Danio rerio: one gene and its partners. The protein of the gene in region 5 binds, or shares a complex with, the protein of the main gene of each other region. Links are inferred from orthologs where the notes say so. Each region holds a gene or a part of one and is shown on either strand. Other genes may lie near its edges.

Evidence for each region.
Region 1: taf1c (region 5) and polr2k share a complex: the UniProt entries of both Homo sapiens proteins name them as parts of the pol I pre-initiation complex. The link is inferred for Danio rerio from reciprocal best matches to the Homo sapiens genes TAF1C and POLR2K.
Region 2: taf1c (region 5) and tbp share a complex: the UniProt entries of both Homo sapiens proteins name them as parts of the transcription factor SL1/TIF-IB complex. The link is inferred for Danio rerio from reciprocal best matches to the Homo sapiens genes TAF1C and TBP.
Region 3: taf1c (region 5) and taf1b share a complex: the UniProt entries of both Homo sapiens proteins name them as parts of the transcription factor SL1/TIF-IB complex. The link is inferred for Danio rerio from reciprocal best matches to the Homo sapiens genes TAF1C and TAF1B.
Region 4: taf1c (region 5) and polr1h share a complex: the UniProt entries of both Homo sapiens proteins name them as parts of the pol I pre-initiation complex. The link is inferred for Danio rerio from reciprocal best matches to the Homo sapiens genes TAF1C and POLR1H.

Annotation. Positions count from the first base shown.
Region 1 is NC_133194.1:13,079,824-13,086,282, reverse strand, and holds polr2k (DNA-directed RNA polymerases I, II, and III subunit RPABC4), read right to left. Parts: upstream 3,915-6,459; 5' UTR 3,835-3,914; intron 3,571-3,834; 5' UTR 3,569-3,570; coding exon 3,508-3,568; intron 3,311-3,507; coding exon 3,218-3,310; intron 615-3,217; coding exon 592-614; 3' UTR 467-591; downstream 1-466. UniProt on the Homo sapiens protein: DNA-dependent RNA polymerase catalyzes the transcription of DNA into RNA using the four ribonucleoside triphosphates as substrates.
Region 2 is NC_133188.1:27,610,667-27,614,827, reverse strand, and holds the start of tbp (TATA-box-binding protein), read left to right. Parts: upstream 1-1,361; 5' UTR 1,362-1,433; intron 1,434-1,874; 5' UTR 1,875-1,955; coding exon 1,956-2,009; intron 2,010-2,858; exon of another isoform or gene 2,859-2,943; intron 2,944-4,161. Other genes in the region: zgc:153169 (uncharacterized protein), read right to left, coding at 7-148, 453-513. UniProt on the Homo sapiens protein: The TFIID basal transcription factor complex plays a major role in the initiation of RNA polymerase II (Pol II)-dependent transcription.
Region 3 is NC_133195.1:32,284,850-32,291,399, forward strand, and holds the start of taf1b (TATA box-binding protein-associated factor RNA polymerase I subunit B), read right to left. Parts: upstream 4,219-6,550; 5' UTR 4,126-4,218; coding exon of another isoform or gene 4,108-4,125; intron 4,021-4,107; coding exon of another isoform or gene 3,922-4,020; intron 1,824-3,921; coding exon of another isoform or gene 1,736-1,823; intron 1,631-1,735; coding exon of another isoform or gene 1,533-1,630; 5' UTR 1,298-1,532; coding exon 1,265-1,297; intron 715-1,264; coding exon 622-714; intron 1-621. UniProt on the Homo sapiens protein: Component of RNA polymerase I core factor complex that acts as a GTF2B/TFIIB-like factor and plays a key role in multiple steps during transcription initiation such as pre-initiation complex (PIC) assembly and postpolymerase recruitment events in polymerase I (Pol I) transcription.
Region 4 is NC_133194.1:29,749,676-29,754,866, forward strand, and holds the end of polr1h (DNA-directed RNA polymerase I subunit RPA12), read right to left. Parts: intron 3,175-5,191; coding exon 3,071-3,174; intron 2,974-3,070; coding exon 2,864-2,973; intron 1,739-2,863; coding exon 1,714-1,738; 3' UTR 1,599-1,713; downstream 1-1,598. UniProt on the Homo sapiens protein: Core component of RNA polymerase I (Pol I), a DNA-dependent RNA polymerase which synthesizes ribosomal RNA precursors using the four ribonucleoside triphosphates as substrates. Can mediate Pol I proofreading of the nascent RNA transcript.
Region 5 is NC_133196.1:7,090,924-7,097,388, forward strand, and holds the start of taf1c (TATA box-binding protein-associated factor RNA polymerase I subunit C), read right to left. Parts: upstream 4,242-6,465; 5' UTR 3,989-4,241; coding exon 3,860-3,988; intron 1-3,859. UniProt on the Homo sapiens protein: Component of the transcription factor SL1/TIF-IB complex, which is involved in the assembly of the PIC (pre-initiation complex) during RNA polymerase I-dependent transcription.

The DNA of each region.
Region 1 (6,459 bases), on a different chromosome or scaffold from region 5:
AGTTTGAATTAGTTGTAATTGAAAAAGGAGGGTTTTGGTAATATGATTAATAAGGGCAATACAAATAATAATATAGATCGAAAAACATACACACGTTTTTTATGAACCTTTGACATTCCATAGGTTTCTATTGTTTTTATACTGTACAATCTGTATTTTCCCCACCCTATCCCTAAAACCAACCCTTACAGGAAACTAGTTAAACTTACAAGATTTTATTCATATGCATTTTTTATGTATTCATATATTACATTCTATATTATAAGTTTTTGGAAAAATGGGGACATCAGTCCTCATAATTCACTCCGCTCATAATTCACCATATTCGTGTAGTATAATTTGTGTCTTGATACAATACAAAACACAGACACAAACACAAACTGAACACGATTCAACCCAAAACCTTAAACCTTTTGACTTAAATTTGTACAAACACTGGAAAAAAAAGGAAATAAAGCACATTCACTCACAAACTTTGAAAACTGCATTTTACTCAGTTTTGACCCTTTACTGCCTAATCAAATTGTACACATGTATTTACATATTCAAAGACATAAAAAAGATAACTATAACAGAAAAAACAGCAGGATCTCATCTGGCATCAAACACGACCACTGGAAACAGAAGTTAAGGGAAAAACTTAAAAAACACAAGACAAAGATCACAAAAATTGAGATACTAACCTAATAGCGTGGAACCAAGTTTAACTTAACATTATTAAAAAAAAATTAAAGTAACAGCTCATCCCCCCAAAATAATCATTTCCTGATACGTTTTAAATCATTTAAACAGAAAAAAACTAGGAAAATGAAATTGCATTAATAACGTTAATGGCCTATTGAACAGCTCATAACTACAACATTTAACATCTTTTATATTTTTAATGGTTAATGTTTGGAATAGCCCAATGAAATTAAGTAAATAATAGAATAAAGTTACTTTTGTTTGAATAAACTTATTTCAACCACCAAGTAGGGCTGTGCAATAAACAAAGTCTGTTGTTTTATATTATACTCTATCATTTACTTTGTTTACGGATGCAGACAGAAACATGAACAACGGCATCATATGGGAAATTTGCAATCTAGAAAGAACAATGTTTACATTTGGCATTTTATTTAGCAATATTTTTTACATTATGTTGGATTAATCGTTGTAATCATTTGGTATTTAAAGTGTGTTTTTATTTTATTAAGAATTTATTCATATTTCTACATCTTTACTAAAAACATTTGCTTTGAAGTTCTAAATGAAGTAAGAAATATGTTCACACATGAATGAGCGCATTTCTGAGTATATACTTTAAAATGTAAAGAACAAAAACAAATAGTGCTTGAGATGTGGTCAATATACTGAGGTTGGCGCCCTTTAATTTTCTCTAGGCCAGTTTCATTAGTTTGCCTTTTTTTAAAGGTCCTGTGAAACTCAAACTAAACTTTTTTTTAGATGTTAGTTTTAAGGATATCTATTAGCTAGTAGGGTTGGGTCGATGGACGAAGCCATCGTCGATAGACATATCGATGCTGAGCTGGCATCGCTAACCTCCACCCCACCGTAGCAGCAATCCGTTTGTGAAAAATACACACTTAGGCCCCGTTTACACTAAAGCCTGATTCATACTTCTGCGTCAGGTGACCGGCGTAACCCACGGCGCAGGCAACGCGCGTGGCTGTGCATTTATACTTCTGCGCGCTGTCTCTGTCGGTTTGCATTAACACTTCCGAAACGCTAGTTGGCAGTGAGGTGTAAATGTTCCTCTGTGTTGAGTTTCTTCGCTACTTTTTTGCATTTCCTGAACACTTCTGGGATGTACAAGTGGCTCAAACTCGCTCATTTTAAGGCAGGAACCGGCGGACGTGCAACAACTTTAACTATAAGGTAAACACAAAACAAAACTTTCCATCCGGAGCTCCATCACGGGACTCCACACTTGTAAACAATCGCTCGCGCGGCGTCGCGCCATTCGCGCAGCTCTCGGTCCCGCCCAGACTCGTCAGCGCTACCAAGCCGACCAATCACAGAGCTTGCGCTACGCGTTGTTGCGATGTGTAGTTACATTTTTTGAGAGGTGCACGTCAGTGACGGCGATGGCCACGGCGAAGGGCTATGCGTCAGCGCCGTAGCATACGCCGGTGTTTGACCCAGAAGTATAAATCAGCCTTAATACATCTTAGTTTTAAAATGGCATTTTAGAACAAAAGCGACCTACGTCCACACAGGCGTTTCATCTAGCATTTCTGAAAAGCCTTCCTTCCACTCGATATCGATGAAAATGCACACTGTTATGCCTGCAGTATACATTCGTATCAGAGCTTCAGACATTTTGGTCTTTTGAATCTATCAGGTAATGTGTCACAGCATCAGTACACTGCTTCGGTGTTTCGCTTTCATGCTTATACTTAGTAATTTTAGTGAAAACCTCAGATACAGTTGGTTGGTTGTGCACCTTTTTTTCCCAACCAAGTTTGTCAATGTCATTGTAAAGACACAGATCACTCTATTGGCCTATTCATGCCAGAGTCCAATGGAAAAAGTGATTGAAAGGTGGTAATTTGTGTGCAACTTTATTTATTTTTGATTTGGTTATGGGTAAAACAAAGACCTTGTGGGTCAGGTAGTTGAAACATGGGCTACAAATAATTAATCCGTTATGAATTAATAATTAATTCACTGACGCCTACAATAACGATGTTATCGTCCATTACTTTGTTTCACATTATACATCATATGATGGCAAATTGGTCAACATCGCCCAATCCTATTAGCTAGTGTGCTCCAAAACAGTGACACAATATGCATTTAGAAAATGTAAAACTAATAAACATCCAGAGCTTAAAATTACATCAAATATGTTTATTTGAAATTATTTTTCACATGTATGTGTATTTTCAAAATGTAGGAATATACGTGTTCCCCAGTTTGTACATAAGCTACCAGCAGCTGTGAGATTTCAGTTAATTTACTTTTATTATACATTAAACTACAAACTAGTGTACTTTTCTTGGCTATCAAGTAAAATAAAGAAGTATTGCAATAAGTTTTTTCTCCTTAACCTCTTACTAAGGCTAACTGTATTGTTGTATCCCTAGTTACTATATCATGACATATCTCATTATTAGCAAATGAGAGGATTATAGCGTGAAATTAATTTAATCAACTTTTTTTGTCGTATCAACCAGGCCTACCACAAAGCATTGGTTTAGTTGATAAAGGATACATCTTTTGGTCCTCTTTTTGTACATGATCCTGTAACCACACTCTCTGCATCTGATGGGGTCTCTGGCCTTGATCTCGTTTTCTGTGTGACACTCTGAAACAAACACACACACACACACACACACACACACAAAATTTCAAGCTCAAAAACAGACTAGATTGTGAACATCTTGATTGTTTAGCATTAAGAAAGAAATGACTGATTACAAAAATATAATCAATACATAAACCTTCTAATAGATCAATATACATATAGATTATAAACATAAATACAATCAAAAGAGCAATCACCTCCACAAATGTAGATCATTGGCTGTTGTTTGGGGGGCTGAATGTCTTTCTGAGAATCCATGGCTTAAAGCAAACACACAAACATGATTATATAGTCTAAATTGAATAAATTCATTAGAATATTACACATTATTTGACCTAAACCTATCGTAAGAGCACATTTAAGAGATGCTGCACTATGCACAAACACGTTCTTCCATTATAAACCCAACAAGACACGTAATTCATCATATTAAAATTGCAATAAAACCCCGCACATATCATTCATCCTGTCATTTATCAGTGTACAAACGAGTACGAAATGTAAACATTCAAAGCATTAGCTACCTTTCACGCGTGAGCTCTCTGTTTGCTTCGAAACGTTTTTCGTTCACGCATGCGCACAAGCGACATCACATCACAGTAACGAACAATGCTATTGGTTGGCAAGAATTGAACCAATCTCGTCATACGCCGCCAGGAGGGAGGACATTACCATTTTACGCAGAGACTTACAGGTTCATCTGGGACTTTTATTTTATTACTGCCAGCAATTTCAGATGGCGGAGAAAAACTTCGCGGCGACGTTTTTAAACATTCATTTAGTGACAGACGTACGTAACCATGAAGACGTATTATTTGTGTACTTTTTTGTTTAACGCTAATGGTTTATATTAATTCATGTGTAACGCTGTTATTAAACCTGTCCTGAAATTGTGAAACAGTCTAAACACATTTATTTACTAACAGAAATGTGTTATTATTAATGAATAATTATTATTTGATTTTTTGTATGAGTGAAATGTGTTTCGTACATTGTCACTTGATTTGTCGGTGTTGTTGACGGTCTCAGAGCAGGAAGTAACGTTAGTGAGTCGCAGCTGCAAAAACTGCCAGTAACGTTAAACGTTCAGCTCTCGGGTAAGTTTGCAAAACTTTACTGTCAGTATTATATACTATTATATGTTTTATAGGTATAACCAGATAGTCTGTACACTGTTAGTATTTATGTTTGTAATGTGTTTTTTTTTTACTGGCAGTCGTAATCCCGCCTCACCCTTTCAGTTTCTGTTTCTCGGCAATGTGTTTAATACATATCAACATTCCCATTTATAATGTGTTTATAACGAAGGTATATGTCAGAACAAGCTGATCCAGCCAATTGTCATTTATTCATATTAATAGAGTTACTAATTATTGATAGCTGTTTATCTTTTTGATATACTGAAATGTTTTGTTACTGTTTCAATAATACTGAAATACTGCTAATTCCTTAAATATTATTATGATTTTTTAAAACTAATGTTCATTTTTAGAGCAAAAGATAGATATACTTTGCATTTGAAGGTAATTCAAATCCACAGGACACATGTTGGCCATTAATAACTAAATCAAGTGTAAGCACAAGTAATTAAAACGGTTTATGAAATGTAATAACATATTTAAATTATTTAATATTCCATAGTTATCAACAGGTGTATGCATTGTAACTATTGAGGGCAGCAATATTCAGAAACTATCCCCAAAAGACATCTCAGAAAGATATTCATGTTTTGTTTTTATGTTGAATGTCTAGAATGATTGTATTGTAATCAAAATGGTTCCGTCAGTAACATTACAGTTATACAATAGATAATAAACAACAAATAAGACTTCCTATTAGCAGCGCTTTTGTACATTCTCACATTTTTAGGTCTCCCAACTTATAAATTTGGACGTTTTATATTGTTGTTCAAAATAAAATTAAACTAAGTTGAGTTCCCCTTTGCTAATTGACTCGCTTTTATTACAAAAACACAGAGTCTTTATGCATCTGCATGGCTGCAAGCACACACTTTTCAAAGGCAGCTAATGTCAAGAGAGATTTGTTATGAAAGTGTTCATTCCCTTTATTAATTAGGGATCACCACAGCGGAATGAATCATCAACTATTCCACCATGTGTTTTACACAGCAGATGCTTATCTAGCCGCAACCCAGTACAGGGAAACACCCATGCACTTTTGCATTCTCACACACTCATACACTACGACCAATTTAGTTTATTCAAGACACCTATAGCGTATGCCTTTGGATTGTGAGGGAAACAGGTGGACCCTGAGGAAACCCACAGGAACACGGGGAGAACATGCCAGCTCCATGTCAGAAATGACAACTGGCCCAGCCAGGACTCAAACCAGCGACCTTTTTGCTGTTAGGCGACAGTGCTACCCACTGCGCCATCGTGAAACGGAAATGCTTGTAGTTTCTGCTAACTCGACTCTACACCGTAACTTTTCAATCCAGATGGATGGGGCAACCATTACTGCATCAAAAATGGTGAAAAGCCTTGGAGTAACGATTGATGACCAACTAAACTTCTCTGACCACATTTCTAGAACTGCCCAATCATGCAGATTCGCACTCTATAACATCAGAAAGATCCGACCCTTCTTATCTGAACATGCAGCTCAACTCCTTGTTCAAGCTCTTGTTCTCTCCAAACTGGATTACTGCAACTCTCTACTAGCTGGGCTTCCAGTTAACTCTATCAAGCCTCTTCAACTGCTCCAGAACGCAGCAGCACGAGTGGTCTTCAATGAACCTAAACGAGCACATGTCACTCCGCTGCTCATCCGTTTGCACTGGCTGCCAGTTGCTGCTCGCATCAAATTCAAAGCTCTGATGTTTGCCTACAAAGTGACTTCTGGCCTTGCTCCTTCTTATCTGCTCTCACTTCTGCAGATCTATGTGCCCTCCAGAAACTTGCGTTCTGTGAATGAACGTCGCCTCGTGGTTCCATCCCAAAGAGGGAAGAAATCACTTTCGCGAACACTCACGCTAAATCTGCCCAGTTGGTGGAATGAACTCCCTAACTGCATCAGAACAGTCACTCGCTACTTTCAAGAAACGACTAAAAACTCTCCACTACACTTCCTAATCTGCAATTGCCTCTCTGAATATCACACTAACTGGACCAAAAAAAAAAAAAAAT
Region 2 (4,161 bases), on a different chromosome or scaffold from region 5:
ATCTACCCTCGAAGTGCTGCCACTGCCCCAAATCTCCCTGGCAAACCTTCCATAATAGCAGCATCACATTCAACTACTCCTGTGGCATTTGGAAATCCTCCTCTGCCACCAACAATATGTCGTCCAGTGTCTAAGTCATCTTCAACTTCTAAAAGCAAACAAGCAAACAAAACACTTATGCGTTTATACCACTAATACTCGTTGTTGTTGTTAAAAACTAAGTTGCCTATTACTTATACATGGCATCATTAAAATACATATTATATAAAGTCTGCTAAATTTTTTAATAACGTTATGCAAATAAGATAGATAAGGAGAAAGATTTATCTAACAACTGAATCAGTAATAAGAATAGTATTTTAATCCATCGTTCACAAGAGGTTCCAGCCGACTTTAAATAATAAAAGTCCATGCAGTTGGCTGATGATAGCGCAAACAGGTGTCAGATTTACCTGCCATTGCAGTTTCTACAACATCTGTAGCGTTTTGTCCAGCTAGCAGCAAACTTCTCATTCTGTCCACTGCAGGGCGAGAGAAAGACCATGTTCCCACAGCTGCCATTTGACACAAATGTATTGAAATACATCTATTTATGTACAGGAAAAGTTCGTTTCCATCGTTTGTAAGACTTTAAAACACAGTTTTACGTCCGGGGGTTATTAAAGCACAATTTCAAAATAAAAGTCTATGCGTTACAAAGACAGTTTAAAGGGCCATACTATGCATAATGTACACAATGTGTCATTTTTAAAGTGACATAAACTGACTTTTTGACATGGCCTGACTTTCAATAAAATTTGTATTTTGATTCAATTTCATACATAATTAAGCAATAATGCAGTGATTTGAATTAATGCACAATAATGTATATTGCAATAATACGTTAAAGATTTTAGATTTATTTATTGTAAAAAAAATATAAAGAAAACAATAGGTACATTTTTAACGTTTACCCTTTTTGCACAATAAAACGACTATTTCAATGTGGTCATGTCATTGGCCCAAGTATGAACATTTTCCTGCTTGTTATCATACTATTTCATAACTGTAATGTTAGGCAATTCAATCATAAATTAACATTAAAACAGCTGTCATAACCTTATTTAGCAATATGTATTCACCAGTTTTGCATTCTCTGAAACTATAGAAATTAAAAATGTAAAACAGGAAATACATCGGGATCATTGTTCTTGTTTACATCCATCAAAATGGTATATAAAATATATATTTTTTGTATTGAAGCATATAACTGACAAGCATACAGGATTATATGTAAAATATCACAAATTTGATTTGAACATGCGAGCTAATAGTGCACCGGAAGCGCATATTAAAGACGGCGGAAGTTGTTGTGAAGTCTCATGTTTTGCGCGCTCCCTGCGCTTCTGGAACTATTCAGCTCGTAGCCAACCGGTGGATCCTGCGAATTATCGGTTTGTTTGGCTGTCCTTTGATCTAACACTGTTTCTAGACGGAGAACTGTATTACAAGTGTTAACTGCTTGGGTTTTTAACGAACATATTAAAGTTAGCTCCAAAATTAGCCTCGCTAAACACGCTGTGCTGCATTCCTGTTCTGCTCACTATCACCTCTTTAACATTGTCAACTCTGTTCTCTTGAATGGGAATTCTATTATTTAGTGTTTCTGTAGGTCCTCGTACTGTTGGTCAATTTACGTATTATACTTTCTTTATAAATCCAGAATAACGTTACTGTGTTCTTTTAATTTAACGTTCAGATATTGCATTAAATTTTCTCTTGTGCATGTCTGTTTATTTAGGTGCACTTGGGATTTTTATAATCGTGTCTGCACTGTTGTGTGTAATCGGATTTTTAATATTTGTTAATTTGTATCTTTTTTTCGTTCATTTTAGTTTACGTCTTTTGGAGCCACTGAAGTTTTATAGGGAAGCCCTGAACCACTGCTCTGTTGTTTTGCTTCATAACCCGTCAGCATGGAGCAGAACAACAGCCTACCTCCTTTCGCTCAAGGTCTGGCATCTCCACAGGTGAGGAATGGATTGTTTAGTTAACGGGATTTTCCCAAAAATGACATTTCTTCATTTACCTATACTCAAGTGCTTATAAACATTTATAAACGTCTTGCTGTGGGTGAACAGAAAACAAGATATTCTGAAGAATTCTGTGGAAACATAAAAAGATACAGGAACAAACTCCAGTAGCCATTTTTTTTACATTTCAGTAGAGATTTGTAAAAGTTGGTTGGGTTGCACTATAATGGAAAAGTCGGATATTGCGATACTTTGTTTTTCTATGCTAAATAAAGCAATACGAATACCATTTCACAAGATGAATGAGTCTATCAGTATTCAGGTGCAGAAACTGAATAACCACAGTAGAAAAAAATGCTTTTCTTACACTGTCTTGTTTCCAGTCCAAATATAAAAAAAAATTAGTAAAGTAAAAAAATTGTTTTGTTTTCACTGTTAGTAGAAATATTAAGTGATTTTCCCTAAAACAAGCTAAATAATCTGCCAGTGAGGTGTTTTTTTCCATAAATTATAAATTTCGTATAAAGACTCGGTCAGTGAGGCTAAATCTAAATATTTTTCAAATTTGATTACTAAAAGTGCAAGTAAGCCAAAAGTCCTTAAAACTATTAAAAAATAGTCCTTAAAACTATTAATTCAGTTCTTAATCCAACTATGTGCTCTGTTCCTGTTGTCAATCTGGAGACGTGCATAAAGTTCTCTGACTTTTTTACAAGATATTAAATCACACCTCTTTCCCACCGACATAGATCATTCTGATTCGGTCCCTCCATCCAACAGTTTCACAAATTTTCAGCCTGTATCTTCTTCTCAGCTACTTAATAAAATTTTTCAGATGAAACTCACCTTTTGTCCTTCAGATGTACTGCCTTGCCGTCTTTTTCAAGAGGTTTTAGATACAATCTGCCCCTCACTCTTAGCTTTAATAAACAGCTCCTTAATAAACAGGGTTTTTCCAGATGTCTTTAAACATGCTGTTGTAAAGCCTCTATTAAAGAGGCCTAATCTTGATCCCGCTGTGCCTGCCCACTACAGGCCCATATCTAAGCTCTCATTTTTCTCAAAGGTTTTAGAGAAAATTGTAGTTTCACAATTAACCTGGACATTTTTAATATTCTAGACCCTTTACAATCTGGTTTTAGAGCAAAACACAGCACTGAGTCTGCACTACTAAAAGTCACAAATGACATTTTACTCTTCATGGATTCTGGATCATCTGCGATTTTAATACTTTTAGACCTAAGCGCTGCTTTTTATACCGTAGATCACAACATATTATTGAAACGACTTGAGTGTGTTGTTGGGGTTCAGGGCCTTGCCTTGCAGTGGTTCTCCTCATATCTAAAGGGGAGATCTTTTTCTGTAAATATTGGATCCTTTACTTCACCACCTAAACCTATTCATTGTGGTGTTCCACAAGGATCTATTCTTGGCCCTCTTTTATTTTCTCTTTATATGCTTCCTTTAAGCTCAATACTCCTCAAACATAACATAAGCTATCACTGCTATGCTGATGATCTCCAACTATACTTTCCAATCAAACTAGGAAAAGATTTATCATTAGAAAATATTTTCCTATGCCTTACCGACATTAAGACCTGGATGACAAATAACTCTCTGCAACTAAACAAGAATAAAACAGAAGTGTTAATTTTAGGTCCTGCTGCTACCAACAATTCAATTAAAACTTAGCTAGGAGCCCTAAACGACAATCTGCACAATCACGTCAAGAATCTCAGAGTTATCTTTGATCCACTCTTGCAGTTTGACAAACATGTAAATGCGGTTGTGAAGAGCAGTTTGTTCCAGCTTAGATTGGTGGCAAAAGTTAAACCCTTTCTTTCTAAAAAAGATTTAGAAATCGTAACCCATGCTTTAATCTCCTCTCGGTTAGACTACTTCAACTCTTTGTACATTGGCCTACCTCAGTCAACACTCTTTCGGCTACAGTTGGTCCAAAATGCAGCCGCCAGATTAATAACAGGAACTAAGAAAAGAGATCATATCTCCCCTGTCCTCGCCTCATTGCACTGGCTACCTATAAAATACAGGGTTGCTTTTAAAATTCTTCTTTTCACTTATAAAGCTTTGCACAATTCTGCCCCCGCCTATGTCAGCGAGCTTATTAGGCCATATACAGCTTGTAGAC
Region 3 (6,550 bases), on a different chromosome or scaffold from region 5:
CACTTTCTTTGCTGTTCATGTAACTCTGCTAGACTCCGCAGAGGGAAACCAATAATCTTGGAGCAAGTAAAAAGCCTTTTAACTTTGCTTAATTTGCCAAAAAAAATGTAAACAAGGCATATTTAACTATATGAAGTTTTTTTTTCTTCATAATTTTAGCTTTTGTTGTTTGAGACGCATTTGTGTGCTTTTGTCTTCAGTGCCTGTTCAAAGTTCAAACTATGATTTAATTTGTTTTCTATAACTAATAGGAGTGAACAAGAGTTAATGTAAGCTCTGCAAACACTAAACTTTACTCTGAACACTGGACCTGGTCTGTGAACTCTGTTAAACTAAATTACTAAAGCTGAAACTAAAAGCAATAAAACTAAAGAGAAATGTGTTCATAAAACGACACTAAAATTGAGAAAAATAGTAAAGGAAATGAACTATAATTAAACTGAAGTTAAGAGAAAATGTAAAAATAAAATAGCATTAACATGAAAACTAATTTTAAAAAGCAAAACAATGACTAAACAATGGCTTTTGATTATTATTTGCTTTTTTTAATAAAAATTTGTCAACATCTTCTTCACAGGTCTTCAAAACAATTTCAATTTTAAAATTCAACACAAAACGTACCACTTCAAACCTCGCAGTGGACACTGGATTTTCAGTAAAAGCTTGCCTTGTGTTCTGCAGGTACCTCTTCCAGAAATTCCACAGAACTTCTGTCTGTCAAAACAAAACATGACATTGCATTAGGAGTAGGGTTGGCTAACATTTGAACTTGATCAATTCCTATTCCAATTATGCATATCGACTTTGATTTTACAATAATAATGACATTTAACTTTGCCGACATTCTTTACCAAATGTAGCTACTCTTTTGATTCAGTTATCTAAGAAGTAGCCAGTGACCCGCACTCATTAAATTAAATGTTTGACTTTATAACAAGTATCCGATTTCTAATCCAAGTATCCAATACTAGAATCTAAATAAATCTCCAATTCCCAACCTTAATTTGGAGATTCTTTTTTTTTGTCATCCATAAAGTGATTCAGTAAACTAAGAAGTAGCCAGTGATCCGCACTCATTAAATTATGTGTTTTGACGTTCTTTATTTTACATTCTATTGGAAAACAAAGTCACAAACATTTCAGCTCAGTGATGTGTGTAATCAAATTAATCCCTCCACCCTCTTTTTAAATCTTCAAATCACATTTTTATCATTAATTATTCAGCTATATCATTCATTAAAAACATAGTCTGTAAGAGGCTTACTTCCTGTTTATTAGTGTCGATTGCAAGTGACATGACAGGAGAGTCCTTTTTGGGTTTAACCTGTAAAATGATCCTACAAGTCGCACTGTTTATACATTATATTTTACACTTGCACCCACAAAAAAAAAAACCTCTACAATAAAGTAAAACAAATTATACAGAAAATTACATAATTACATAAGAGATCAATGTACCAAATATAAAATCTAACAACATAAGAATACTGTGCAAACTACTTAATTTGATTCAGTAAACGAAGAGCACTAACCTCAAACTTCATACAAACACCTAGACTGACCAAAGCCTTGGCCTGGTGTTTGAGGATGAACTGAAATCCCTCACAGACCAACCACTCCCTTTCAGAATCTGAAAACAGACATAAGAGGCGTCAGGTTCAATTTTTCATTTTAGCACAATATCCTGTTAGAAATGATCAACAAGAATAAAAACAGTAAGTAAAGCTGGACTGACCATGTTTTTTCTTCTTGGGTTTCCTGACTATTGAGATCCTGCCATGCTTATGATGAAGGCTGGTAACATCCTCTACCTCCCTTATTTTCTAGAAGATGTTAAAACAAGCAACATGCTTTAGGTGTGTAAAGCTTATAACATCATGCCATTAAGATGAGACACTGTAGACAAAACAGTCATCATAAAGTGTTTCTTTTATAGCACTATAAATTTGTGCCTGCAGATTTCTATTATATTACACGTTTTCAGATGCTGTTTTTTTTTAAAAATTGGTTTTGTTCTCCTGAAATGAGCCATAAAGCTTCTTCAGCAAGTCTTACACCAAACGTTTTTGTTTTGTTTGTCAGTTTAAAGGTGCAGGAGGTAATCTGCCAAAATGCTATCCGTTAGCATATCTTAGAAAACCCCAGCCATCCCAAGCCAGGACTCCTGAAATCATGAACGCGCAGCTTAAAGTTGACAGCAGACAATCACTAGATTGTGTCATTTGCCAGTTAGAAAACTTTATAGTACTTATAAAACTACAATTCCGAACGACATACTGTATTATATATCTAGCACATTTTCAGTTCTGTCGCAAGCAAAACTTGTCATGATGTACAATATTTAATGCATGCAAGGATCGCTGGTCTCACTCTTTCACACGATTTGTCCTACAGCGACTACTGTATGCTTAGTGGTTGGCCGGTGGCATGCAGGAATTACACTTATTACTAAGCCATATTTACATGCTATTTCAGGCTGAATATTCAGCGTAGCATGGTAAACAATATAGGAGCACTTCACAGATTGTGAGTAGCCCCTTTCACACAGTGATACCGGTAAATATCCGGAAAATTTCCGGAACGACTTTACCGGTATATTCAAAAAAGCCCTGTTCACACAGGTAAGGACGTTACGGAAATTTTCCGGAAAAGAGCATTCACACATCCATTCCAAAATACCGGTAAATTCTGACATCATTCACCACAAATGAGCTTTAAACGGCTGCGCTTGTGTTTGTAAACATTTGACTAAATTACAAACTCTGTGGATGATCAATATTGTGAACAACTTTCGCAGGATCACTTTCGCATGTCGAGATGTTCATAATATCTGCGTGTGCAGGCGCTCACAGGCTGTTTCACAGGCACACGCAAAGCTTGAAGGTAAACAAACAACGGCTTATCATAAGCATCTCATCGATGATTATTTACACAGTTGGCATTAAGAAGAACATATAAACGTGATCTGACTAACTTCTAGCAGCTAAATGTGTCTGGAAAAATATTCAAAGGCTTTTATTCTCACAAACCCCGCGGACGTAAATGCGTCTGACTGTTGTGATTGGCTAAAGCAGACGTCTCACGTCAGCACGTTCTAGACGTGCACGCGCTTATTACGGGAATCTTCCTTCTGCATTCACACAGCGCAGCATTCCGGCAAATTGCCGGTAATGTTACAACTTCTCTTTCCGGAAAATAGCCAGAACGAATTTACCGGTATTTTCAAAAAGGACCTGCCGGAAAATTGCCGCCAATTTTCCGGAAAGGTCTGTATGTGTGAAAGGGGCTAGTGTTAAACAATGAACCAATGTGATTATAAAACTAACTTCAGCTCAGTAGAGCAGGCTGGGCAGAAAAGCGCTATTTACTGATGTTTTTTTTTTTTTGTTAAACTAAATAAAAATCTACATTATCGATGCTGTAAAAGGTCCCTTATGCAATTGAAATTAGTCACATCAATCGTTTGCCTGAAGATTCGGCTGAACAACACTTCTGTGCATGTAACCCATTCATAAAACCTGCATAAGCTTTACGTGACTAAAATACTATTTTAGTTTTCATAAAATGAAAAGTTTTCATTTATGTCTGCTTTCAATAAAAATAAATCAATCAACCGGGGGAGTATGATAATAATTAGTAATATTTATTTACCCAACTCCTGCTTTAATTAGCTTTTTGTTTAATGATTTTTTTTAAATTAATTAACCAATCATTAAATTAAATGTTAATATAACTATTAAAGTCAGCAGCATAATGAAAATCAGCAGAAAAGTGAGTAAATTATAATACATACGACAACTTCATACCTGTCCATGCATTTAAACAAGCTCATAGGAATTGGAAGAACTATACATATGTAAAAAAAAAGTGATTTCTGTCTATGTATTAATGTACTATATATTAAAATATCTATTAACCCACCTCGATGACATTGTGGCAGCTCTTACAGAAGAACTGACCCTCGTCTGACACTCCCCAGTCCACAGCAGCGCACTGTCCGCATGGCTCACTATATCCACCCTGGAGAAACAGCACCGCAGCTCACAGAGTATAACGAATTTCCACATAACACTGCAGACTGACAAAATACACACTAGAGATACTTACAGTAATTTGTTCGTCCATGGTGTAAACGTAAGCTGAACTTCAAAACATGAGACAATTTTTGTTTTCTGTTTTCAGCGTGAGCATACTCGCTTTCAACATGGCCGACTATACGTTTTTCATAATAAAAGTCACTCGTTTGTTCAGCGTAATATTTTACAGTAGGCCCTGGCCCACTGATCTAGAACCCTTTGGTAGGGCTATTTCATTTTACTATATTGTGTAATATGTATATGTGCATGTTAATTACAATTTTGATGTTTATTTTTTTCTTCGTTTACAGTATAACTCAACTCATTTACACGTATAATTTTAAACATCTATTTTATTAATGAAATGTAATTATATTGTATAAATATATGTGAATCAAAATAATAATAATAATAATAATAATAATTCATACTTCAAGTTTAGATAACAAGGCATAGCCCCCAATTTGCACATTGCCACATTGTAGGAATTATATTATCCCATATAATTATTTTATGTATTTGCTCTATATTATGTTGTTAAACATTTATATTGTCTGGAATGTAACTAAATTATTTTTAGGCTTGACAGATAAGTAATAATAATAATAATAATAATAATAATAAAGTATTGACTCTATCATGAATTCTCTATTAACTTATCTTGGATACATAAATTGCGATTCATAATTATTTTTATATAGAAATTATACATTTATTTTACTTGTTTTATTGTAAATGCATGTCTCTCCTGCAAAACAAAGATGTGTCACAGTCAATGGACAGTAGATGGCGCAAAAATCCATAGCTAGATAAAACTGACAGTAAATGGTGGTAGGCTACTCATTACCTGGATTACAATCAGCCTGCTTGAGTCAGAATTTCTATTGTTATTCTTTAATAAATTATAACAAATAGTAGGCAAATACAAAATAGTGTTCATATTCTCGTTTGCTCATCATGACCTTTCTATTGTTTGTTGTTAAAAACCCTAGCAAATTTAAGATGCCTCATATTTAACATTTAAACTATAAATATATAAAGTTCCAGTTAATGCAATTGTGGCTTAAATGTGCAATGTAACAAAAATAAAATAAATTGTGCCCATCAACAATGCTTCCTTTCCTCCTCCCCACCTCTTTGAAGAAAAGCTGCTTCTTTCACCACTGGGCCAATTTCATGGTTTACTGCCTCCCATGCGTTTCCTCGTGTTCTCTATGCAAAACACAGCATTGTTGGCAATGGAAATCAGGAACAGTCAGTAACTGCAGGTGTGGGTTTTGTTCTTCACACTGAAACAGCGGATTGCTCTCCCTACAGTGTGGCACGTTTTACATCCCCACTTGTCCTCCACAGACGCCGCATAGCGTGGATAGAGATTGTGGGAGGCTGTGGGCGAAAAGGGAAAATTATACAGAGTCTAGCTCACTTGCTTATCTGGTATATAAATATTACATGCACTCTCTGCCTTTCCCATCACGACTCTGCTGCTTCCTGCTGTTCACGGCACCTGAAGTTGGCTAAAAGGAAACAGGCACTTTCCTTGAGCTGCTCAAGACTGAGAAGAGAGACCTTATCTGTGATTAAACCATAAAATTAAATAATATATAAAAACGCTCAAGACATGTTGATGACCGTGGAGTCAATCAATCGATTGAGAGAAGTGAACAAGTTTAGAAAAGTTTGATAAATTCTCAGACATTTCTTTGTTATTTAAACCTAATTAGGCTTTACTTAAGGAATCATTGATGATAATAAAATGGGGAATCATCCTGTGGATTAGTTTAGGACTAGCTTCTTTGACATCTCTTTAAAAGCCTTTTGATTTTTTGTTTTTGACTGTTGTATCGTTGAAGTAACTGAACTGAACTGTAATGTGGTCAAATCCTGCCTGGATCTAATTTATCCATGCAATTCCCTTATTACAGGGGTGCCCAAATTCAGTCCTGGACGGCCAGTGTCCTGCAAAGTTTAGACACATCTGGGCTGGCTAACCAAGCTCTTACTAGGCTTTCTAGAAACATCCTTGCAGGTGTGTTGAGGTAAGTTGAAGCTAAAATCTCCAGGACATCGGCCCTCCAGGACAGAGTTTGCCTTAAAATAACTCCACACCTTAGAACATGGGTCTCAAACTCAATTCTTGGAGGGCCGCACAGTTTTAAGCTGCGGTCACACTAGAGTTCAAGCATGCGAAATTCTGTAGTATGATGCTGCGAAAAGTGGCGGGATTAAACAAGATTACTAGACATTTAAAAAAGTGAGTCATTGGTCCATATTGGCACCAAGCTTGAACTTTCTAACGCAGCGAACTGCAAAACTTGTCGCACAAGCTTGTGTTTCTGGTCTGATGCATTTGCGTGCGTATGAATGGAAGTCTAAGGGGAGAAAAGTGCAGTGTGACCGCAGCTTCGCTCCAACCCTAATCAAACACAGCTGATTCAAATAATCGAGGTGTTCGAAATCCATGCTTTAGAATG
Region 4 (5,191 bases), on a different chromosome or scaffold from region 5:
CTAGTAGAAATGTTTATTACGCCACCCAAAAAAGATCTCACACACACACACACACACACACACACACACACACACAAATAATAATAATAATAAAATAAAAACTATTTAAAACTTCAATTTGCAAAATAACAGTTTCAGATTTATGAATTTGAGTTTCTTGCTTTTTAAGAGTAAAACGTGTTTTAAAAATACGTATTTTATATAGTAGAATTTAAAATAGTTTTTAGCACGTTCCTCATAAAATTGTTTTATACTTCCATTATATAATAATATAAGTCCTTTCTTTTCTTTCAACTTTTTTTGATTTAGTAATAATATAGTAAATGCCGTTTAAGAAAGACTAAACTTATGATTTACGACAATTTTAATTGGAAAGAGGTTAATAGATCATCATCAAATGGATTATAAATACTACATAAATATAATTTTGCACCATTACATCCCCTAGAAAATATAATTTTAAAATATTAATTTATAAACTATTGTGATGTAAAATAAAAAAAAAACTAACAAAAATTTCATTGAAAGTATCATTTTTAAAAGTCCTTTTTACAGCAAAGCAAGAACTGCTGTTTACTAAAATATTTGTGCTTTTTATTTCCAAATAAACTCCACTTGCTTGAACAGTATGTGATCTAATCAGATCAAAATAAAGTTCCACACAATTCATTCGTGTTGTCACAACGTACATCAATTAAGTTGGCTTAACAAATTTGAGTATACATTAACTTAATATAATTAGGTTCTCCCAAAGAAATCTAAAGAAACGAGTTGTCTCAGCTTATTTTAAATAAGCAGTTTAAACAAGAGGCAAAACATTATGAGTGTACACGTAAATATGAATGCGTGTATAACAGAAGGACCTGTATACTGCTAGACATGTTGCTGGGTGATTGTAGAGCCTGTCGAGGATTTCTGGGGTCAGTTCTTTCAGATACTCGTGCAAGTTCTTACACTGAAGCTGAACGCGAAGCTTCATCTGTAAACGGTAAAAACGGGCAAATGTAAAGACAAAAATCAAAATGACCTGCATTAGGCTCTATCAGAAAACATTATCTGTCAAACGGAGTCATATTGTTCACTATCTTTGACTGAGATGTTATAGTGCATCTACTTTGTTGGTTACACTAACGTAAACACACTGATATCAAAGGTAACAACAACAATATATTGAAATGAGCATTTAAGGAACAATAGATGCTTTAAATTCTTGCTGCCTTGAGTTCATGCCTAGAAAATGTATGTATCATATATCGTAGTCATTCTCGCTTTAAACTTAGATTTATTATACAGTCAATTTGCTTACCTTGTTTCACAGGCGCTAGGAAGCACTAAATAGTGCATAAAGTGATACACATCATTGTACTTCTTCATGAACAGTCATCTAGCCATTCAGCTCGGACAGTGTGAAGCCATGTTGTACGATCACGTGATCGCTGAAACATAAAGGCTGATTGGCTCACGCGTGTGGGAAGGGACTTTTCGGAAAACCGTATTTCTTTTACAAACTTTTATTTTTAAAATTATAAATAGTGTTTATTATGCATTCCTTATACTATATATAAAGAAAATTACATATTAGATATAAAAGACAAACATTCTTTTGATAATTTTTATTAACACTGAATAGTATGAATACAAACAAAACCTTTACATTATTTTATACAATTAAATTCTAGCAATCAATATAAGACAGCAGCAGCAACACATTTCTCATGAGTCTTCCTTTTCTTGGAACCTATAACAAAAAAAAGTAAAATATTAATACTATATAATACCCAAAAAAGACAGTCAGACAGTTGCAGCTTATTCAAAACCAGAAAATCAGAGCACATCTGTCCTCAGGTCTTTGCACTAGCTCCCAGTTACATTCATAATCGATTTAAAAGTAGCCTAAGACCTAACTGAATACAAACCTAACAGATCATTCAGATCATTAGAACCAAGTAAATAAGAAATCCCAAGTGTTCAGTCAAAGCGGGGTGAATCGGCCTTCGGCTATTAACCCTCCACAGCTGAAATCCGCTTCCAGAAACGGTCAGATGTGCTCCAACATTAGGCACATTCAAATCAAGACTGAAAACAGTTTAGCTGTGCCTTTACTGAATGAGCACTGTGCTATGTCCGACAGATCAAACCATTACGGCTTTCGTTTTCATTTTCATTCTTTAATAACCTGTTTTAAACACATTTGAATCAGCTTTTAATCATTTTTAAATCTTTTAAAGATTTTATTTTATGTCTTTTATTCTTGCTTATGTAAAGCACTTTGAATTACCATTGTGTGCGAAATATGCTATATAAATAAATTGTACTTGTATTAGTGCTAATTGGTTGAATTACAGATAGATAGTAAATAATAGTATATGTAGAAAACGTATTGTTTTTAAATGTAAATGTACTTACTCTAAAATTGTGAGAAAAATCAAGACCAACTATATAAACTGGTTGACTTTCAAATGACACTGACATCTCAAAAACTAGCTTTAACAAATAACGTTTAGTTTGGGTGCTGTACCAAACGTTTCCGCTTGATGAATTTAGTTTGCAATGCATTTATTTTTGATCGTGAACAACACAAGTGTGTCTGTAGTTCTCCAGAAAGGTTAAATTTTACAAACCATATCCAAGATTTTAAAGTCTTTGTTTACATAGCAAGTGCAAAAAGAGGCTTAATGTAAGTTTTTATTTATACCAATAAAGTTTAAAGTACAATAAAAATTATATATATATATATATATATATATATATATATATATATATATATATATATATATATATATATATATATATATATATAATTTGTCACTCTCTAAAATTTCAAAGGAGCACCAAGGGTTTATGAGCATGCTGTGTTAATTACCTGCAGTGAATACATGTGAAGAAAACAGTTTGCCCTTCATCTGCAGATCTCATCTGTCTTGTATGATAAACCATTCCCTCTTTATTACAGCGAGAACATTTCCTGTCAATCTAAGGAAAAGTTTTCAGAAGGTGAGAAAAAAGTGAAAAAGTTTACAAAGAGAATTAATGATATTTCAGACTCAATTACTCTTTTTTTGTAACATACCACTGGCCCCTTCAATTCAGCATCCTCTGCACTTTCAACAGCGACATTGCTCTGATCCAAAGGATTAAACATCACCGATGACTTGATCACTTGACTTGTGAAGTCTGAAAGAGAATCATACTACTGGGTTATAACCAGGGCCAGACGGAATCTGCGGACGTTTTTTGCTATTTCTGCTGAGAATTTTGGTAAAAATCTGCGGATTTCTGCGGAATTATTTTGGGAGTATCCAGCAGAGTATCATAGCTAAAACCTTAATATATTAAATAAAAAGTAAGTAATTACTCAATAAAAACTGAATAAATTTAGATTTACACATTTACTCAAGTAAATAAACAGAATTATGATGGGCTAATAATCTGCAGAAATCTGCGGAATTCTGTGGAAAATCTGCGGAATTCTGCGCAAGCAGATTCCGTGTGGGCATAACATAAACCTGCAAAGAAAAAGCACCTTCATCATTGACATAATGGACCCGTTTCAGTAAGGAGGTTCAACCAACTCGAACTTTAAACTTGAACTCTGAGTTGACTTACCAAGAGATTAAAAACTCAAGAGTTTTTAGTTTCAGAACAGCTGATCTGAGTTAGGTCAACCAAGTCTTGAGTGGACTGATTCAGAGTTAATGCTGTAGTCACACTAGAGTTTGAGCTTGCGAAATTCTGTTGTACAGGGCTGCACAAAAGGCCGAAATTAAACAAGATGATTGGATATTAAAAAAGCGAGTGACTGCTCCATGTTTTAAATTCCTGTACAGAGTTCACGTTTTGCTCTTCGATTGGTCTCTCACAATCATGTGATGCGATTTAGCAGGACAGAGTTCACCAAGCTTGAACTTTCCAACGCAGTGACACACGACCTTACGTTTCCGAAAAAAGTCTATGGGGAGAGAAGTCCAGCGTGACTGCAGCTTTATGCGTGCACACCACACAACTATAAAAAGGTATTATTAATGGAGCGCAGATATTACAAGTCCCCTTAGCAACATCTGAAAAAAAGAGAGCATTTTTTTTCTCCAGCTGAACTTGATGCTTATGCAGTTATAGCAAATACGATCTTATATTAAAAAAAAGCAACACAACTGCATTAGTGAAACAGAGACAGTTAGCGTGAAAAAAAGATAGCTGCACAAGTTAATGTGTATGCTTAAATCTAAAACATTTAAAGTATTTAAATATTTAAGTGTAATAAAAGAACAAGTAATGCGTGATGTTTATACACTTTTACCTTGAAAAAGTGGGGAATTGGCCATAATTTTGAAGTCATTGAAGTCGTTCAATTTCTTTTCATTCATTAATTTATTTTCTTGTCAGCTTAGTCCCTTTATTAATCCGGGGTCGCCACAGCGGAATGAACCATCAACTTATCCAGCAAGTTTTTACGCAGCGGATGCCCTTCCAGCCACAACCGATCTCTGGGAAACATCCACACACACATTCACACACACACTCATAAACTACAGACAATTTAGCCTACCCAATTCACCTGTACAACATGTCTTTGGACTGTGGGGGAAACCGGAGCACCCGGAGGAAACCCACGCGAAGGCAGGGAGAACATGCAAACTCCACACAGAAACACCAACTGAGCCGAGGTTCGAACCAGCGACCTTCTTGCTGTGAGGCGACAGCACTGCCTCGCCCAATTTCTATTCAGCTTGGTTTTTTTTAAACTGCGGTCACCACAGATGAATGAACCACCAACTTATCCAGCAGTTTTTTACGCAGCAGATGCCCTTCCAGCCTGAACCATCACTGGAAAACATCCACACACACTCGTTCACACACATACACTACAGACAATTTAGCATACGCAATTCACCTATAGCGCATGTGATGTCTTTGGACTGCGGGGGAAACCGAAGAACCTGGAGGAAACCCACACAACACAGGAAGAACATGAAAACTCCACACAGTAATGCCAACTGACCCCGCCTAGGCTCAAACCAGTGACCTTCTTGCTGTGAGGCGAACGTGCTACCCACTGCGCCACCGCGTCACCAATTTTGAAGTCATTTCAAATGTAATTGCATTAAATTACATAAAATAGGCTGCTGCATAGTTTCTACAACAAATCTGACAAAAAATGCATATAACCTTAGCTTAATGTTCAGTGGAAATG
Region 5 (6,465 bases):
CGATTAATTGCACAGCCCTACAACCAAGTTACCTGAAAATTTCATCCCACAGACTTTTCATAGCCGACTTGAAGCCAATGGAAGTCTTTTCTCCACTCTTCAAAAAGTGTAGAAGGTGGATTAACATTCAGCACATGATCACTACTAAGATGTGTCATTATTTGTAACTTTAGATGCCATGGTTTCTTAAACAAAATCTGTCAGTATTATCTTTATTCTCATCTTCAGCGCTTTACAATTTTTCGCGGTAGCAGCTCTCTCTGTCATCCAAAGCCAGAAGGCATTGACTGAGTGATTGACAGCTGATATTTCAGTGCTAGAGCAGTGGTGGGCCAATAAGAAGAGCGCAAAGGCAGGGCACGCATTACGAGTTGGCTTTGTTTACTGCAGCTAATTGACATGACAACTGTTTTAAACCATTCCTGAGCACTGCGTTTAACATGCAGAGATGCATTCTGCATGAATGCCTCCCAAATCTGCGCATGTGGTGAACATTTTGCAGTAAAAACTGGTCGCACACAACAATTTCATGCACTCGCACAAATGCTCCCAAATATATTATGAGGTCGCATAGATAAAATTTCGGGCGCATATACGACCAAAATGGTTGCAATTTCAAGCCCTGATGTGAGACATCAGTAGGTGGAAACAATAATGATATTTTTTTTACATTTTTTTAACGACTGAACAATTTCGTGAGTTCTAATCAGTTTGATTTATAAATAGATTTATATATATATATTTATACACGCACACACACATTGTTATTGAATTTCTTCTATGCCATACGGGTTCTAGAGCTAGATTAAAAGTAGTTAAAAACAAAAAAAATTGCAGTAAGAAAGTAAATAAAGGAAAATAATACATGAATAACTTTAATTAATTTTTTTTTTCTTCAATTAATTAGTTTTTTTTTATCAATGATCGGCCCTGAGCTTCTTCCATAGTTTATTTACTTATGCTATTAGTTTTATTTATTACTTTACGTTTTTGCATTTTTATATGTATTGTTTGTCTAGTCTACGAGCTTAATGTTATGCTTTCCAATTAAATCTTAATTTAGCTTGTTAACACATTATTTTTGCTAATAAACATTTTACAATATTAACACTATTACAGGTGTCATCACATCACACAAGAATAATAAAGTAAAAAATAAATGAGAACCATTTATTTTCTCCAACTAAGTTTTGTTCTTGCTTACACTTTAAAAAGAAATAAAAAACAATAAGTTAATGCTTGCATTAATAATGTATAGATCATTTGGAATTACTAATAAATAAACACACACAATTAGGCATGGGCCAGTATAAGATTCTGACGGTATGATAACCTTGGATAAAAAAAATATTACAATTTCACAGTATTGTGATTACTGCTCTAAAATATATCATTTTTATGTCTTTGTTAAAAAAAAATGTCAGACCAAATAATTCAAATTAATAATTGACCTTAGCTTCAAAAACACTGATTTATTTATATTTAAAAAGGCATCTTTGGAGATCTTTTCTGCAGGAGATATTGTTGTCCAAAAAAACAACAACAAAAAAGCAAATAATAAAATCTTTGACTTTGCCAAACCCCGGTATACATTGAAAATGGTTATCGTCCTAAGCCTAATTCTTAATTTAGCTGTTAATATATTATTTTTGCCATGTAACACATTACAATATTAACACACTATTACAGATGTTATAACATGCAAATAACTTTAATATGTCAAATTAAACAAGAACAATACAACAATAAATAAATGAAAATAATTTATTTTCAATTTCTCTAATAAAGTTTATAATTTTGTTAATACGTTATTTTTATATTTATATATTACAATATTAACACTATTATAAAGTGTTATCACACATGCAATTATACATGCATAATTTATGTATAGATCCTTTGTAATTACTAATAAACATAAACATAAATAATATTAAATAAAATATAAAAATGGAAAAATGCTTAAATTAATGAATGAATATTCTAGTATTTTTTAATATTCTTCCTTAAAAGATGAATACGCAATTTTTAAAAATCTCAATTAATTTGTACATGCATAACAACCTTATCGTAATGCATGACAAAAAACATCTACAAATCAGGGATTATAAACCCAAGTAGTTTGTGGTAATAATCTCTGATTTGTAGATTTGTTTAGGAGATCTACAAGTACTTGATTTGTAGATTTTTTCTAGAAATGCTGAGACGTTTAAAATGTGTGCTCAAATTATATTTGCATTGTAATATGTGCATAAACCATAGAGATGGCTGTCATATCTTTAGTATTTATTTACTGTACTTATTTAATCCTAAATAAAAACGATTAAAATAATTTCACACAATATTTAGACAGGACAAACAAGAAAGAAAGAATAGCAAAAAAATAAATCATGTTGCATAAATTCATTTAAAAAAAAAACATATTTTTTAATAAAATAAACACTTCTTATAATCAATTTAACCTTGTGTGCTGTTGGGGATCTTTTCATACTGGGGTAATTTTGAGTATTAATTTGGCCACAACTCGCTCTCTTTCAGCAAATGGAATGATGTTTGTTGACAGACCATATTTTGACACATATTTTGAATAGTTTAATATATTAATGGTTTGAGAGATTTACAAAAAATGTAATACACTATAGGCAAACTGACTACCCTTTCTTTATGTTCGTGGCTGTTTTATCTCCATTGACTTCCATTTTAATAAATTGTTATTCCAAAGCCACGACACCATAATTATCCATTCTTGATTGTTGCTGGCTTTCCAGTAAATTTTAAGTTTGTTAATGCATTTTTTAATAATGAATATATTACAATATTAACACTATTACAAGTGTTATCACACATGCAATTAATGCATGCATTACTTATGTATAGATTCTTTGTAATTACTAATAAACACACATAATATTAAAAATAAATAAAATATAAAAAAGGAAAATTTATGAATATTCTAGCATTTTTTATATTAATTTTATATTTCTTTATTTTTTCAAATCTCAATTTACTTGTACATGCCTCATAACTTTATCATAGAAAATTATGACCAAAAAAAATCTACAAATCAGGAATTATAACCACAAGTAGTTTGTGGTTATAATCCCTGATTTGTAGATTTGTTTGTAGATCTACAAATCCCTGATTTTTTTTTTTCTAGACATGCAGCGACGTTTAAAATGTGTGCTCAAATTATATTTGCATTGTAATATGTGCATAAACCATAAAGATGGCTGTCATATCTTTAGTATTTATTTAGTGTACTTACTTAATCTAAAATAAAAACGATTACAATAATTTCAAACAGGATTAAAAAGAATGAATGAATAAATTAAAATAAATCAAGTTGCATAAACTCATAAAAAAAATTATATTTCTTAATAAAATAACAAATCTTATAATCAATTTAGCCTTGTGTGCTGTTGGGGATCTTTTCATCCTGGGGTGATTTTGAGTATTAATTTGGCCACAACTCGCTCTCTTTTCAGCAAATGGAATGATGTTTGGTGACAGACCATACTTTGACACATATATTTTAAATAGTGTATTCATATATTAATGGTTTGAGAGTTTTACAAAAAAAATGTAATACACTATAGGCAAACTGACTACCCTTTCATTATGTTCGTGGCTGTTTTTGCTCCATTGACTTCCATTTTAATTAATTTTTATTCCAAAGCCACGACACCATAATTATCCATTCTTGATTGTTGCTGGTTTTCCAGTAAATGTTAAGTTTAAACAATATAATGAACTGATTAAATGTTCTGCTTCACATTAAAAGTCTATTCGTGTATGTACGGCTCTGTCATGTCATTGTTATGATTATTATTATGATGATGACGTATCAGCTCTGTCTTACCTGCTCAGCATTGACAGGAAACACTCGCTCATATGTTCCCCAGCCACTATAGCAGTGTTTCGGCTTTACATCAGGCGGTCCGTCCAGATAAAAATGTGGAAAAAGCTGATGTGGAAAAGTGCCGTCCATGATGTCCGAGCGCTGGTTCAATCCACCGGCCCAGAAGACTAGACAAGCCCGGGCATGTTCACGCGAAAACCGGCGAGCACACGCAGTCCGACGGAATCCATTTAATACCACATTGTCACTTTAAGATAGTAATATGTTGAATATAAGTCTCTAATATAAATAAATTTTGGAAATAATAGTCGATAACGCACGTGTTTGTGAAAAACGTGGCTGACGGTTGACCGTAAGCACGAACGCCAAACAAACCGCGAATGAGCTGCTAACGTCATACACGCGCCTCAGCTGTTGCTAGAAGAGATACAGCTGCAGACTGAAGTTAACGAGAGTTGTATATAATATTTATTAAATTATACATTAATTGTATTTTATTAACGTCTACTTCTACCCCAACCTTAAAACCAACCATTACAGTAATGTTAAAAGAGTAATTATCTCGAATATTATTCATATTATTTATTAAATTACCCGTTAAATTGTATTTTATGACTGGCTATCCACACCCCAACCCTAAACAAAACCGTCACAATAATGTAAAAATATTAATTATTCGTGAACATTGTTATTAAGTTGATGCTATTTTGACGCTAGTGTCCACAGCTGTATCCCTTCTGGACTTTACCGATCACATGTCGAGGGAAGCTAGAAACTACAGGAGAACGTTCAAAACACCCGCCATAGGGCGAGCTTTCAAAACAAAAGCTTTTCTAAATAATTCAAAATAAGAGCCCGTTGTGTTGTACATTAGTTAGTAGATCATTAATGTTTTGTTTTGCAATTCAATTGGATTTTTTTTTGTTTAACTTGATGTACTCATCAAAGTGAATTATTGCATGTGATAACAGCTTCAATATTGTCAATATTGAAATATATTAATTAGCAAAAATAACATATTAACAAGCTAAATTAAAATTTAATTGCAAAACATAACATTAAACTAAACAAATAGAAGAATAGACAAGTAGTGCATATGAAAATTGAAAAACGTAAAATGTAAATTATTAATTAGGACCAATGCTTAAGTAAATAAACTACAGAAGAGGATCAGAGCAAATCGTTAATAATAAATATATACTGTATATAATAAAAATACAAATTAAAAAGAAAACCACCTCAGTGTTAAAGTCATTTTATTGAAAAAATAATATCATTTAAATAACAATAAATAATAAATTCATTAAATTACTGGAATAAAGTTGTTGTTTCGAAAAAACTTTTTCACTAAATTTAACGGGTTGTTTTTTTCAAATCATAACAACTTTATTCTCAAAAATTAATAACTTTACTATAAACATTGTGTGTATTTACCTTTTCCTGAAATGTAACTTTTTCTTGAAGAATAAACTTTTTAATGAGTTCTCAACATTTTATGTGTATTTTTTTCTCAAACGGTTAACGTTTGGATTTAATGTAACTATAAAAGACAGCTCTCGAAAGGTGAGACTTATCTTGAAACTCTTTGGTAAAGTGTTTATTTTTTCTCAACATTTTATAACAACTTATTTTCTTAAAAATTACCTAATTAAATTTCGCATTATAATGACTTTTAATATCAAGATGGTTTATTAATTATTTATTGCTTGACCCTAATCTTGAGATTGTTATTTATTACGTTTCCTTTTTTTTAGAATGTTCTAAAAACTAATGTTCAAGAACTAATAAAAAGTTATGTAAACAGCGCCCCCTGTAGGATTTGATTTATTCATTCAGTCATTCATTCATTTGCTTTTCGGCTTAGTTCCTTTATTAATCAGGGATCGCCACAGTGGAATGAACCACCAGATTTATACATTATTATTAATTTTTGTATTAATCTGCATGTGCTTTCAAAATACAGAAAGTGTATATATTGCTAGAAACTTCTGTGACATTCTTTTATAAAACCCCAAAATCCCAAATAATGGGTAAAATACAATACCTGACAAAAGTCTTGTCACCTATCAAAGTTTTAGGAACAACTAATAATAACTTGACTTCTAGTAGATCATTTGGTATCAGAAGTGGCTTATATGAAAGGCAAAGGCCTCTACGCTTATTTAACCAAAATAAAATATGATCATGCCTTGATTTTTAATTATTTAATAAGGACAGTAAGGTCTGACTTTGCTTAGACAAAAGTCTTTTCACTGAACAGAAATAATGTCCAGTATAGAATTTAAAGTCATGCTGCAGTGGAGAAAGAATGAATATTGTTTCTGACTCCATCATGAGCTTGGAGGACTGCATCCATACATCTCTGCATTGACTCAAATCACTGATTAATAAAGTCATCCGGAATGGCAAAGAAAGCGTTCCTGCAGGACTCCCAGAGTTCATCAAGATCTTATGCCAGACATGCTCAATAATGTTCATATATGGTGACTGGGCTGGCCAATCCTGAAGGACCTTGACCTTCTATGCTTTCAGGAGCTTTGATGTGGAGGCTGAAGTATGAGAAGGAGCGCTATCCTGCTGAAGAATTTGCCCTCTCGTGTGGTTTG